2 linked regions of the Chlamydomonas reinhardtii genome follow. The protein of the gene in region 1 binds, or shares a complex with, the protein of each later gene. Links are inferred from orthologs where the notes say so. Each region holds a gene or a part of one and is shown on either strand. Other genes may lie near its edges.

Region 1 (5,794 bases):
CGGCGTCGGGGCACGCCGCCGGCGCGCGGCCGGGCATGGTGTCGATCGGCGTTGGCGTGGGCGACAGCCTCATGCGCGGGCAGCTGCAGCCAGACGACCTGTCGCGCATGGCTGGCGGAGGCGGAGGCGGCCTGGCGCGGCAGCGGTCGCAGCCGCGGGAGCCCACCATCGAGGTACACGCGCCGGCCGCCCCGCCAGCGTCCCGGTCTGCGGGGTCAGGGCCCGGCTACCGCGGCGCGGGGTCAGGGCCGGACCGCGGCGTGGGCGTCGGAGTGGGGGTTGGTGTGGGCGAGGACCGGGACATGGACCAGCGCTACCCCTGGCAGGGGCCAGGCGGCGCAGCCGCCGGCCCCTCCGGCATGGACCGGCTAGGCGGCGGAGGCGGAGGCGCAGGCGGAGGCGGCTACGCGAGTGTGGTGCCCTCGGACCTGGAGGCGGCGTCTGCGCTGTCGAGCCGGCACGGCATGTTCCTGTCGGCCATGAAGAAGCGCGCCAACACGCTCATGATCATGCGAAACTTTGTGCAGAAGGGCGACTGGCGCAACGCCATCGCCGCGGCGCGGCGGGGCGACGACACGGCGGCCCTGGCGGACCTGCTGTCCGCCATGCACGACCGGCGGGACGTGTTCACGTTGGACCTGGTGGGCGAGGTGAGTTGTGGCAGGCAGCAGATGCAGCAGCCGGGAAGCCGCGTGTTCTGGTACGTTTTAATAGCAGTATCGACGTGGCGGGGCCGATGCCCGGCGCGGCCAGCCGTACCCGGTAAAGGACAAATCAGGGACAAGATGCACGTGCAAGGACCATCAGGACCAACCACACCCAAATTCACGCCACGCGCGCAATGCAGCTCACGCCTTGCCCCCTTCCCCTCCTCCCGCAGGTGATGACGGTGGTGGAGACGGTGCTGTCGCTGCCTTCGGACCGGCAGCAGCAGACGGGGCTGGAAGTGCTGGCGCTGCACATACGCGCCTTTGGGCCCGTCATCCGGGACCTGTGCGGCCCGGGCGCGCGCGGCGTGGGCATAGACCTCAGCTTTGAGGAGCGGCGCGAGCGCGCCGCCAAGGCCAAGCTGGTGCTTCAGAACATGGTGCCACGCCTGAACAGCCTGGCGCGCTCAAGCGAGACGTTGGGCGTGCGCGCGGGCGAGCTGGCAGCACAGCTGGCGCAGCTCTAGCGAGCGCTGGTGCTTGTGGTGCGTGATGGCAGAGAGAACGGAGGAGGAGATGGTGCATCCATGCATGCGCCGCAAGAGTCCCGGGAAAAGCAGGAGGCGTGGAGGTGGCTGGTGTGATGCGTGGTTGGTGGCTGGCGGGGCAGCGGGCCAGCGCGCATTGCACACGGCGACATGGGTGGCCCTGCAGGACGAATGGACGTGATCAGGCCTGCACGCATGGTGTGGGCATGGGCTGTGATTGATGGTTGTGGGCTTGTGGCATGAGACGCAGCTGAACCGGCCTCCTGCCCAACACTGAACACTGAACCAAGTGTAAATGCTTGCCAAGGCACTCAAGGCTGCGTTTGCATTGTGGTCCACGTTTTGGATAGAAGTCCAAACCTGCGCAGAAGTAGCTGTAACCTCCATTGACGTGTATATTTACAGCGCCCCGAGCCCGAGACACAAAGCATGTCCTCCGCATCCATGCACGGCTGGGCTTGAGGTCAGAAGCTTCAGAAGCCTCTCCGTTACTACGGACTGGCAGCAGCTAGCCAGTCTCCTGCCCCCGAGTCGGACTTATTCGCCCTTCGTCCTCGACTCCTCTTCATCTATGGAGCAGAGTCCTTGTGTGTCAATGTACCGAGACTGCTGCCACATCCAGTGTCCACCACCACAGCACTTGACATTAAATGTGCCATACCGTACTGCTCAAAACCTCCTGTTGTGCCCTCCTACCCACATGCTGTAGCGCTGCCGGTGCGGCGGTGCGCCTGCGCCTGCTTAATGCGTATGCCTGCACTACATACATAGTGCATGATCTCATGCCCCAATCGTGTGCGCCTCATCCGTTGCTCAGTACCAGACTATCAGAAGCGTCAGAAGCCTCCGTCACCACAGTCCACGAAAGGCGCCTCAATGGCCTCTTATCGCCTCACACCCGAGTCTACGGCCCAAGGGCCGTCAGACCATGCCCATCTCCATCACTCGCCCGCAAACATCCCGTTCAATACCCGTGCACTTTCGTCACCACCTAGAGCACTTCAGCCCTAGAGCTGCCCCACTTAAGCACGTGCCAAGCATGGATGGGGGGCTTCATTGGCGGGCACGCTTGAAGCCAGCCTCCTCCTCGCGATCGCTGCGTCGCCGTTTTGCGGACCGCAATCCTCCAGCACACAGAACGCGAAATCAGTGCACATGCCATTCCACTAGACATAGCGGACGCAAGGAATCCGCAGCATACAGTACACCGCACACGTGTGCAACGCATCGCCTGTTTCCAGTCCTACAGTACAGATGCACACCGAAAGGATGAGCAGGGCCGAGCCCCCACGCTCGCGCGCACGACATGGGCCGCGTGCTCCCTTCGCCTCCTGCCTAGCGCCAACTCCCGAACCTCCTCTCTACCGTTAACATCCATCCTATAATATCAGTACAGCACCACACCGCCATGCAAGCAGCTGTTCCCCTGCTGCTCTGTTCGCGCCTCTCTGCTAGGTTCCCGGGCTTCAAGCCAATACTGCTCCAAGCGACCGCCTGCCCGCTAGACCCTCGGCTGCTACTAAGTACGGGGTTCAAAGTACAGGACACAGATGGGCACGGTGATGAGGGCCGCAACGAACTGCAGCGGCAGCCCGAACCGCGTGAAGTCCAGGAAGCGGTACCCGCCGGGACCGCTGACCTGCACGAGCACGCAAGAGCACAGGGCGCAGGCTGTCAGGGCAACACACACATTCCAACCTCTCGTGCCACGTGGCCCAGCCGCCCAGCTAACCTATACCACGCAGCTGCGCTCTCGGCCCTCGACCCCCTCTGGTAGCAGCTCTGCGTCTTGCACCCGTGCCTGCACCTGCGCGGCCCCCTGCCACAGCCTTCGGCAACTCAGCAAACGCACCATCAGGTTCGTCTGGTAGCCGATGGGCGTGGAGAAGTCGGACGAGGCGCCGATCATTAGCGCGTAGAGCGGCCCCTTGATGCTCACGCCGGCCTGAAAACGGGAGCCGTAAATCGAAGGCGTCGTCAGCAGTTGATGAGGGAGGGGCAACACACATGGTAAGCAGGAGCCGCTGTGTGTGTGAAGGCGTGCAAACAGCACTCGCAGGGTCACGTAGTGCGGCGCGGCCGCATGAGCAAGAGCTAGCGTGGGCGGGGCTGACCGGGATGCATAAATAAACACGCAACAGCGCACCAGCCCCACGCACCTGCTTTGCAAGGTCGCGGGCGATGGGGTACATGAGTGTCACGGCGGCTCCGTTGCTAAGCAGCGCCGTGAGCAGGCTGGTGGAGGCGTAGATGGCGGCCACAGGCCCGGCGCGGCCCATCCACGAAAACACGTTCAGCAGCGAGCCGGCCAGGCGGTGCGCCAGTCCTGTCAGCACCGGCATGAACAAGGTTTGTGCTGGCATCGACATCGATGCATTGCGTACTGCTTGCACAGATACCTGCTTTGACACGGGGCAAAGAGCGGGCGTCGCTGCAAGCGCGCCGTGATCCATGAGGGCCACGGCAGGCCAGGCCATCGACAGGACCAGCCGGAGAGGCGTTGGGAAGTCGCAAGTGCAGCGGGAGGCAGGCAGGCAAGGCGGCCAGGCGCTGTGATGAGCGCACCTGTCACGGTCATGGCCTTGGCCACGCCGAAGCCGCCCGCGACCGTGAGCAGGATGGACGAGGGAATGGCGGCACGGCACTGCGACACCGTCAGCACGCCGGTGATCAGGTACGCGAACAGGCACACCAGCGCCGTGGTGGACAGCGGCAACACGTCCATGCTGCAGGGGCGGGGGCGGGGGCGGCAAAGCAAGGGGCTGAGCGTCAGCTGTATTGATGGGAGTACCGGTACGGCACACCGCACGGGCAAAGCGGTTATATGGGAGGTGGCGGGCAGGGGCGTGGTCAGGTGCAGAATGCAGAAAACCACTCATGATGTGCGCATTGATTTCGACACAGGCTTCCCGGTCGTAAACATTCCCCTTGACCAGGAGTGCCAGCCACCTTACCTGTTGAGCACGATTAGCGCGATGAAGATGCCCAACGACATGAAGAGCGCTAGCGGGTCGCGACGAGGCAGCGTCACCCTGCGCAGTTACAAAAGCAAAGCCCGGCACACACGGTTCACAATTGGATGAAGAGGACCTCGCAGCAGCGGGGCCACCTAAGGAGCTGCGGCGTCAGCCTGCGCGGTGCCATCTCAGTCGTTCTCCAGAACCATTACTTCTCTGCTCACCGGAAGGCATCCACAGCCAGCGCCCACTCCGTAGAGTGCTTGTACTTTTGGAGGAAGTCCGGCCCCGCCTCCAGCAACATGGTGTCACCACCCTGGGGAGGATTACGCCATCCAAAGGGCGAGCATGGTCTTAGTCACTTGCCCCACTAGCGCCCTGACACGTCAACTGCGCACTGAGCTGCCCTGCACACTGGGGGAGCGCTGGGAGTTTAGGGCAAGTGGGTCGCGCCTATATAAAGCCTTTGTGTACATGCTGGCAGCGCGCGCACCTTCACGACAATGTCTCCGAGGCCACCTGCAATGCGCTCGCCGTTGCGGTGCACCGCCAGCACCACTGCGCCGTAGCGCGAGCGGAAGTGGCTGTCGCGAATGGTCATGTTGCAGATGGGGCTGCTCAGCGACACCACCTGCGGGAGGTGCAGTGCAGCGCGACAAGACACGGTGAGGCGAACGACAGGTGCAAGCACCCTCGCGAGGTCTGGGGCAGTTGGTATATTGCGTCTACAGGCGTTTGACAGCCGTGTGCGTGTATGGTATGTTGTTCGCTCCTGTGGTGCACCACGGGCCGCAGAGCACACGGCTGCTCACCCACCCGCGATGGCCGACTACTGGGAGTCGTGTCCATGCCGTAGCCACACGTACACACGCCCTGCGGCACAACCCCACTCACCGCCTCCACCATGATGCGGTCACTGCTGGGCGAGCCCGCCACCGTCTCCTCCAGGTCCGCCGCAAGGTCCGCCGAGCCTGCACACAGTGGCGGAGGCGGCGCCGACAGGTTATTACAGTACGAGGATTACAGACCCCGCCACGCAGCTCACCAAGGCCTACGCCCTAGACCCATGCAAGTCCCAGGCAGCATTTAGCCGAGGCAACCGCCGCCCACACGACGCCACTCACTGATGGGCGTGAGGCCGGGCAGCGACAGGATGTGCTGCATGCCCTGGATGTCGCCCGCAAAGGTGAGCTTGTCGCCCTGCAGGATGATGGTGGTGGGCGGCGGCGAGGGCACGGTGGCGCCGTCCTGCCGCTGCAGGTCCGCCAGGAACAGCCCGCGCAGGTGGCGCAGGCCCGCCGACTCAATGGTGCGGCCTGCCGGCGGCGCACGAGAGGTTTGCAAGCAAGGTTACTTGTGCCGTTGGGAACAAATGGACAGGTTGGAGGTATCGGCATAGCACGAGTGCTTGCACGTATGATAGTAAAACATAAGCAGGAGCTCCGCACATGCACATCCTGGCGGCTGCCGGATGTGCGCTGCACCCTCGACAGTACGGCACACAGACAGCGCCCCTCACAACCGCCCACCAGATGTGCACGGTGCCGGCAACACAACAGCTCTCACCTATGTGTGCGAAGCGCGCGTCCACGCGCACGCTGACCACGTACTCGCGTGGGTCCGCCACCACGGCGGCCATCAT
Region 2 (7,787 bases), on another chromosome or scaffold:
GCGGCCCTGGCGCGAAGCCGTCGAAGCGCGCGGCAGGCGAGATAGGCTGTAGTCCTGCGGGCGACAGCGGCAGTGCGCTGTCGGGCGCCACAGCACCCGCCGCCGTAGCTGCCGCCAGTCCGCCGCCAGCACCACCGCATCCGGCACATGAGGCCGACGCCGACGCGGCAGAGTCGACGCTGCGCAGCGTGGAGGCCGCGCCGGCTGCAGCCGCCTCCGCCTGGCGCCGCGCCTCCGCCAGCTCCGCCCGCGCCGTCGCGAGCTCGGCTGTACGCTGCTGCAGCTGCTCGTGCGCGGGCGCCATGACCTCCTCAACCACGCGCTGCACCGCCTCCAGCGTGTCGGGGCCCTTGGACAGCTGTATGGAGCGCTTGAGCACCTCCACGTAGCGCTTGTTGCTCTGCTGCGCCGCCTCCGCCTCCACCAGGCGCCCCTCCAGGCTGACAGCCCTGCATATACGGTACATTGAAGGCGCGCAGGCCTTGGGTCAGATGACAGCTGGGAGGCAGCGTAGCAGCCCCGGCCGACTCGACACAGCGAGAAGGAGGCACTAGAGCGCATGGGTGCCCACTGGCGGCACACCATCTCATCACGCGAGCGCTCACCTAGCGTTGGCCTCCTGCGCCTCCCGCTGCGCGCCCGCAACCTGCGCCCGCAGCCCTTCCAACTGCTGCTGCAACTCTGTGCTGCTGGGGCCGGGCTGCAGCGCCGCGTGCGCCCGCTGCGCCCGCAGGAAGCGGTCCTCGAAGTTCCGACGCTCCTGGTCCAGGCTTATCTGTGGTTGGGTGTGTGAATGTACTCAGCGCAACTAATATCAAGGCAACTCAAAGAGGCCCCGTAAAGTCACGCGCATGTGGCCCTTTGCAAGACCGCTGCATCATGGCTGCTTTGGCTATGACTCTTACGTTCTTCTGCCTCAGGGAATGCAGCGTCTTGTGCAGCTCTGACCGCTCCTCCACAGCCTTGTCCAGCTGCCGCCGCAGGTGGTCCAGCGTCTGGAGGGCCAGGGTTGAAAGAGTGTGAACAGTGTGTCGGAACACTAGCACACGGACAGTTCTTATCATGCCACAAACCTCAACATACATCTTGAAGCACTCTCGCCGGCTGCCGCAATGACTCACCAGCTCCATCTCCCTGTCCCGGCGCTGCAGGCGAGCCACCTCTGGGTCCGGCGAGGTCGGGCTGCGGCTCCCGGCGCCCGCTGACTGTGATTGGGATTGCGACTGAAACGAGGTGCCCTCCCGCGGCGACACGGCCGCCTGATCCTCCCGCCGTGCCGCGGCCGCCGCCTGCTCACGCGCCGCTGCCAGCTCCCGCTTCAGCTTGTCGTTGGCTAGCCGCAGCCGTGACATATCAGCCTCCAGTCGCTGCGGTACACGCGCCAATGTGGATCAGCAAACAGCAACCAACATAACCCGGTAGCAGCAACTGTGCATTCAGTTGACCAGACATAAGGCCTGTGGGCTCTACTACCGGCCATCCTTGCACACCTGCATCATGTCAGAAGGGTCATCATGAAAGCGGTCGTAGGTGGGCGCCACCACGCGGCGCGCGCCGCCGGGGCCCACGGCGCCGGCCGCCGCGCCGCCGCCGCTGTTGCCACTGGTAGAGCCTCCCCGCCGCACCGTCACCTCCTTGCTGCCACCGGGTAACAGCGCGTTCAGGCGCAGCTGCGTGGATTTGAGGTCGCGCTTTAAGGTGGATAGCTTCTCCTCGTAGCTGTGCTTCTGGGCCAGCAGCTGCGTGCGGCAATGCAAAGTTGTGGGCGCAGCAAAGGGCACAAGATTAGCCACGTGCAAACACATATATCAAGCAGTTCGCCGCGACGAAGGTACTAGGGCCATGGACTCGTAGAGGTTGGCTTCGCCAGCCCAGACCCTGTAACACCCAGCGATATACACGCTGGCCACGCTCGCACCTTGCCCTCGTATTCCTGGTTCTTAGCCTGCAGCTTCCGAATGGCCTCCTCCTGGCTCTCCAGCTTCTTCTGCGCCACGTTGGCCGCCACGCGCTCCTTGTTTGCCTGGTCGCGCAGCTCCTCCCGGGCGCCGCGGTCATTGGATTGCTGCTGTGCCTGTGCGTGCGAAAAATGCGGCAGGGGAGTCAGCTAGCGCCGGCTTGCGCTTTCCCCTGCGGTCCAGCACGGTCCACCACAGCGCAACCTGCCACCGGCCGTTTAGCGCATTTATGTAGCGCTGTGCAAGCCCCTGCTCCTCGTATCCGCCCTTCCTCCGGCCACTCACCATCTGGAACAGCAGGTCGATGACAAACTGTGCCTGGCTGGTGGAGGGGCTGAGCACATTAAGAACCTCGCTGCCCACATAGCCTTGGCCTGCGACACGCAGTGGTTGGGGGGAGGCAGGACTGGCGTGGTTGGTCAAAGTCCCTGAGAAGCGCGCAGGGCGCCTGTTTCTCTTATGTTCCCGGTTGCATCGCCAGCGCGGTCGAGTTGCTGTCGGGCCCAGGTGTCAACCATGTGGCCCGCACCTTTCAAGTACGCCTCGAGGCGATACGTCTGCTCAAGGATAGACTCCTCTGACGGCCCCGAGCTCGCAACATCCATAAAATGCTCCATCTGAGAGCTGGCGAGAGCGCGTAAACCAAGTTGACGTCGCTCCCCCCGAGCTAGCGCACTCTCCTTCCAGTCCCTAACGTGAGCCCACAACGCCCCACGGGTTTGATAGCATCTTCATTGGAATCGATATGATATGTGCAAGCTCAACCGGCTCGTTTGGAGGGCACGGTCCTATTCCAGACTACAAAAGCTTGCGAGTTGCAACAAGCAGCAGTGTGGATGCGTGGAAACTTTATTGCATCATTATCCATGATTATACGAGATTTACGTTTGCTATTTGCCTAGTTCTGCTGTCTGCCGAATTTGCGATGGGGCATCCCAAATTGGAACCAGTTCCCTAGCCTCAGCTCGCCCCAAACCAGCCCTTTCACGCGCTAGAGTTGCTCCAGATATAAAAGACGACAAAAGCTACCTTCTGGCACTTAAACTTGCTTGCTTTAGAGCACAGGGGCGAAGCAAAGCAGCCTGTGAGCCCTCCAAGCGCCGTTGACATGTGCGAATTGTATAATTGACACACAACGCGACCTTGACAATCTGACATACTGCGACTAGCGTGCCTGCTTTGTGGGGTCTGGCAATTGCCGAGCTGCGCCAGTGCTTGCAAGGCACCTGCTTCTTGCCTTGAGCGGGCAACTTGAGGCGCGTGCGTGGAGATGGGGGGCGCGGACGTGCAGGCGATCACCATCGCCGTGACGACGGGGAGAGACTGCGCCATGAGCGGGGATTACTCCGCGGGGTGCACGTACTATGAGAACGCCGTGGAGCTCATCACTCGGTAAGCAGCTCTATACCGGTGGTGTGTCTGTCATGGGCGCCGGGGCAGACTGCACGCAGTTGGACAGGGGGCGGCGGTGGGCGCACCTGATGACAGCCAGCTGCCAGCCGCGGCTCCACGCGACTCACGGCACACGCGAGTGCCCCCAACCCTCGCACACGCACACGCACACATACACATGCACGTGCGTAACTACAGCAACATATACGCGCATACACATGCAAATAACACACAGGTACGTCCGCACGCTGGGTGACCCACACGCTATCCGGCAATGGAGCGCGCTGCTCAAGGAGGTGCAAGATGAGCACAGCAGCGTACGGCAGTGCGACAAGGAGGCACGGGGCATGCGCGTGTACGACAGCGTCGCGCGGTCCAACAGCTACCCCGAGGTGGGTGGGCTGTGGGAGAGTGTGTGGTGTGGGCGGGCTGTGGCACATGGCAGGCTCTGGCACGCTCGGGTCCTGATCGGGGCTGGACGTCATGGATGTCAGCTCATGTGTAAGCATTTGAATGTGTGCCAGCACTTGACTACCAGTGTACGGCAAATACTGTGCCCTGGAATCGCAGATGAACGACCCTCGTGGCTCGGCGGCCTACGATGACGGCTACCGGCAACCCATTGTTGTGGTGGGTGCCGGAGCGCGTATGGTGGCGTACGCGTTGAATACTTTTTGGGCTGCTAACCTGCTGTGGTTGGTTGCTGTGCCGAGTGCCGACCTGATCTGTCCGGCGCCGAAGACTCTCTTATCACCCAAATTCCCAACGTTTCTTACACCGCCAAGTTTAGCTGCCCCACGAACTAAGTTGTTCGGGTATAACCGAACGATTCGCTTGCGCCCTGTCATCGCGCTGCAGTGCCACAACTCGGGCCAGGAGGACCCCATGGTGTGGCGGCCGCCCACACGCGGCGAGGGCCGCAGCGGCGCGCCCGCCCGCGGCGCGCCGCCTCCCCGCGCACGCTCCAGCCAGGATGACAACAAGCTGCCCTCCTGGGCTAACAACAACAACGGCGGCGGCGGCGGTCCGCCCGCCAGAGGCAACGCGGCGGGGCCGTCGGGGCGCGCCGGCTCGGCGCCACGGCGACCGACAGGTCGGCGCGGGGTTGCGGGAGTGGGCCATGCATGATGCCTGTGTGGGCCTTGAAGAAGGCATGCAGGGTGGCAGGCCAAGTGTACCTGGATATGCAACGGGATGAATCCGGCTGTGGTGGAGCGCAGGTCGGGGCGCACATGAGGACTGTCGGACCAAAGCCCCATCCTCAACATTGCTGGTCGAAACTGTTGGTCGCCCCGCACCTCCCCGCTACCTGCCGTGCAGGCAACGCGCCGGCAGGGAACGCTGCCGCAGGCGGCAGTTATGACAGGCCCTGGCGCCAGAACATGCAGGGGAAGCAGGGCGCGGCGGGGCCAGGCGGCAAGCCTGGCGACAAGGGCAGCGCGGGCGAGAAGGCCAAGAAGCAGTACTCGGGTCCGGACCAGGAGCTGGCAGCCATGCTGGAGCGAGACATCGTGGACCAGGGAACCAGCGTCAAGTGGGTTCAAGCATTTGTTTGTGGGCTCTTAGTGCGCATTCATGTGATGGGGATGTAGCAGATGTGTCATGGGGCGCTGGTCGGGCGTCGATAAGTTTATACGGCTTGCGTGTTGCTTGCTGTGCGCGGTATTCAGCCGTGCCCAGGGCCGTTGTGTTTGGGTGCTCGATGGGATGTGGTGCCGCCTCGCTCGCAAACCTCCCCACGGTCCACTCGCTGCCGCCCCGGCGCTGCTGTGGCCCCACGTCGCGCACGTGCACACATGCGCGTGTTCTGTCCTGCGTGTTTCCTTCCCGGGCGCTTTCTAACACGTGCGCGTGCGCATACAGGTGGGACGACATTGCGGGTCTGGAGGAGGCCAAGCGCGTGTTGAACGAGGCGCTGGTGCTGCCCATGATCATGCCCGACTTCTTCACTGGCATCAGGAGGCCCGTCAAGGTAGGGCTGGCGCTTGAGGCTTAAATGGGATGGGCAGCTAGGGTGGGCAGTCGTTGGGCTTTACATGTCACATGTGCCGATGTGTGGGTTGGGTCGCATGGCACTGGAGGCACTTATGGGGCGTTTGAGGTGCTGAGTTGAGACGTCGCTCCTGCGCCTTGGTGCGGCTTGCAGGGTGTGCTGCTGTTCGGCCCGCCCGGGACCGGCAAGGTGAGCGCGGGCGCCCCACAATGTCATGTACTCGTGCATTCAAGGACCACAGTCGTTCTCAACCTCGCTCACGTGCGCACCCGGTGACCCATCATCCATCATGTCCCATCCCGGCCAACCACTTTGTATCCCCGCGACATTTGTATCCCCGCGACAGACCATGCTCGCCAAGGCCGCCGCGACGGAGACGTCGTGCACCTTCTTCAACGTCTCCTCCGCCACGCTGGCGTCCAAGTACCGTGGCGAGAGCGAGCGCATGGTGGGGCTGGCGGGTGGCTATAGGGTTGGTGTTGTGTCTGGGGCGACAGATGGGCTTGGTGCTGGGGACCGGCGCTTTGCGGCTCGACACCTCTGCCCATGAGCCCATGCACCCATCTGCCCCTCCATGTCTTCCCTCGCGAGCCCAGGTGCGCATCTTGTTTGAGATGGCCCGCGACCTGGCCCCCTCCATGATCTTCATCGACGAGGTCGACTCGCTCTGCTCCCAGCGCGGCACCGCCAATGAGCACGAGGCCAGCCGCCGCGTCAAGACGGAGCTGCTCACGCAGGTGGGCGCCTGCTGGGGGATGGCGGTGGTGGGGGGGGTTAGGGGTGGCGGGGTTGTTGGTGGTGGGCATGTGCTGGCACAAGAGAGTGTCTGGTGTTTAGGGGCCGTGGCCAGCGGCGGCTGGCTGCTGCGATGCGGCATCCGGGCATGTGCCTCGATGGCATGGGCATAAGGTAGAGGACAGGCGGCAGGTTCATGGTCGTCAGTATCGGGTATGACAAGTGGTAGACAGGCAACGGGTGGGCGACAACCTCGCCTCTTACTGCTGCGCTCACCAACCTCAATGTCTCCTCAGGTGGACGGCGTGCACGGCAGCGAAAAGGACAAGGAGCCGGGTCCCGACGGCGAGCCGCCGGCTCCCAAGCACGTGTTCGTGCTGGCAGCCACCAACTTCCCCTGGGACATCGATGAGGCGCTGCGGCGCCGCCTGGAGAAGCGCGTGTACATCCCGCTGCCGGGGCAGGCGCAGCGGCTGCAGCTACTCAAGATCAACCTGCGGGTGGGTGGCGGGCATTGTAGAATGGGCTGGGTTGGTTTGATTGTGCCTGGGCTGGTCGTGTGGCTTTTGCGCACGGCCCTACGCCAGTGCGAGCCCCCACCTGTCATACGTGCCCTTGTGCACTCCGCAATCGCAAATCGCACACCACGCAACATACCCACCAAAATAACATACCCACACCCACAGGACGTGGCAGTGGCACCGGACGTGAACCTGGAGGCGGTGGCGGGCCAGATGGACGGCTACAGCGGCGACGACATCACCAACGTGTGCCGCGACGCCGCCATGAACGGCATGCGGCGACTGGTGGCGGGCAAGACGCCGGCGGAGATTAAGGCGCTGCGCGAGGCGGGCATGACGGGCGGCCAGGTGCGAGGTGCCAGCCTGCCGAGCTGGGCTGGGTGGGTAGGCGGTTGGGCCAGGGGCGCTATCCGAATGCCGTACGTACAGTATGTCGAGTGTGTGTGCACCTGCTGCAAAACGTACAATAGGTGCTGCAAGTTCGCTGAGCTCCGGATGCCTTTACGAACTCCCATGAACAGGAGCCCATCACGTCCGACGACTTCCGCGAGGCACTGCGCAAGATCAACCCGTCCGTGTCCAAGGAGGACATCAAGCGGCACGAGGAGTGGCTCAGCGTGTTCGGCAGCACCTAGCCTGGCGCCTTTGCGCCGCTTCGTGCTTGTGTGTGTCCTGCCAGTTTAAAAGCATGGGTGTGCATGGGTGGCGTGGCAGGGCGTGGCGGGGTGGAGTTCATGGCCCGTCCGGCGTATGCCTGTGTGGTGTGGCACCAGGCTCGCAGGTAACGGTGTCATGCCAGTAAGGGCTGGGCACACTTGGCGTGACACAACAGCAGGTGGCGACTGAATGACGGCAGGCTGGTGCATAGGGCATGTGCGCGCTGCACTTGCGTGAGCGGTGTGTGCGGTGTGGGTTCAGAACGAATGTTGAGTCTGCTACGGTAGTCGTGCCGGGTGGATGCTGCATCGTGCGTGGATTTGAAGCTTGGGCGTCCGAAATCTCGCGAAGGTTGTCAAGGGAGGACGTCGGGAGGGGGGGTGGACGCCTACACAGAGCAGCGGGACGCCTTGGGGGCGGGGCACCCTTCCGACGGCAGCGATGGGCTCTACCTGGCTCTACCGTACTATGGTGCACTAGGCACAGGGAATGGAGAGCCGGACGGGATACCAGTCTAACAATTCTGCCTGA

The links.
Region 2: CHLRE_03g160450v5 (region 1) and CHLRE_10g427600v5 share a complex: the UniProt entries of both Arabidopsis thaliana proteins name them as parts of the KTN80-KTN1 complex. The link is inferred for Chlamydomonas reinhardtii from reciprocal best matches to the Arabidopsis thaliana genes AT5G23430 and ERH3.

Annotation. Positions count from the first base shown.
Region 1 is NC_057006.1:2,570,394-2,576,187, reverse strand, and holds the end of CHLRE_03g160450v5 (uncharacterized protein), read left to right. Parts: coding exon 1-650; intron 651-880; coding exon 881-1,174; 3' UTR 1,175-1,587; downstream 1,588-5,794. Other genes in the region: CHLRE_03g160400v5 (uncharacterized protein), read right to left, coding at 2,715-2,834, 3,048-3,140, 3,355-3,521, 3,761-3,921, 4,150-4,227, 4,377-4,468, 4,646-4,783, 5,047-5,123 and 2 more. UniProt on the Arabidopsis thaliana protein: May participate in a complex which severs microtubules in an ATP-dependent manner. This activity may promote rapid reorganization of cellular microtubule arrays.
Region 2 is NC_057013.1:1,317,628-1,325,414, reverse strand, and holds the start of CHLRE_10g427600v5 (uncharacterized protein), read left to right. Parts: upstream 1-2,957; 5' UTR 2,958-3,228; coding exon 3,229-3,350; intron 3,351-3,585; coding exon 3,586-3,742; intron 3,743-3,920; coding exon 3,921-3,980; intron 3,981-4,208; coding exon 4,209-4,443; intron 4,444-4,670; coding exon 4,671-4,884; intron 4,885-5,213; coding exon 5,214-5,322; intron 5,323-5,496; coding exon 5,497-5,532; intron 5,533-5,689; coding exon 5,690-5,791; intron 5,792-5,939; coding exon 5,940-6,080; intron 6,081-6,374; coding exon 6,375-6,578; intron 6,579-6,764; coding exon 6,765-6,947; intron 6,948-7,120; coding exon 7,121-7,234; 3' UTR 7,235-7,787. Other genes in the region: CHLRE_10g427650v5 (uncharacterized protein), read right to left, coding at 1-449, 606-775, 906-995, 1,122-1,367, 1,491-1,739, 1,919-2,074, 2,244-2,332, 2,488-2,575. UniProt on the Arabidopsis thaliana protein: Severs microtubules in vitro in an ATP-dependent manner. Required for oligomerization of functional KTN80-KTN1 complexes that catalyze microtubule severing. This activity may promote rapid reorganization of cellular microtubule arrays.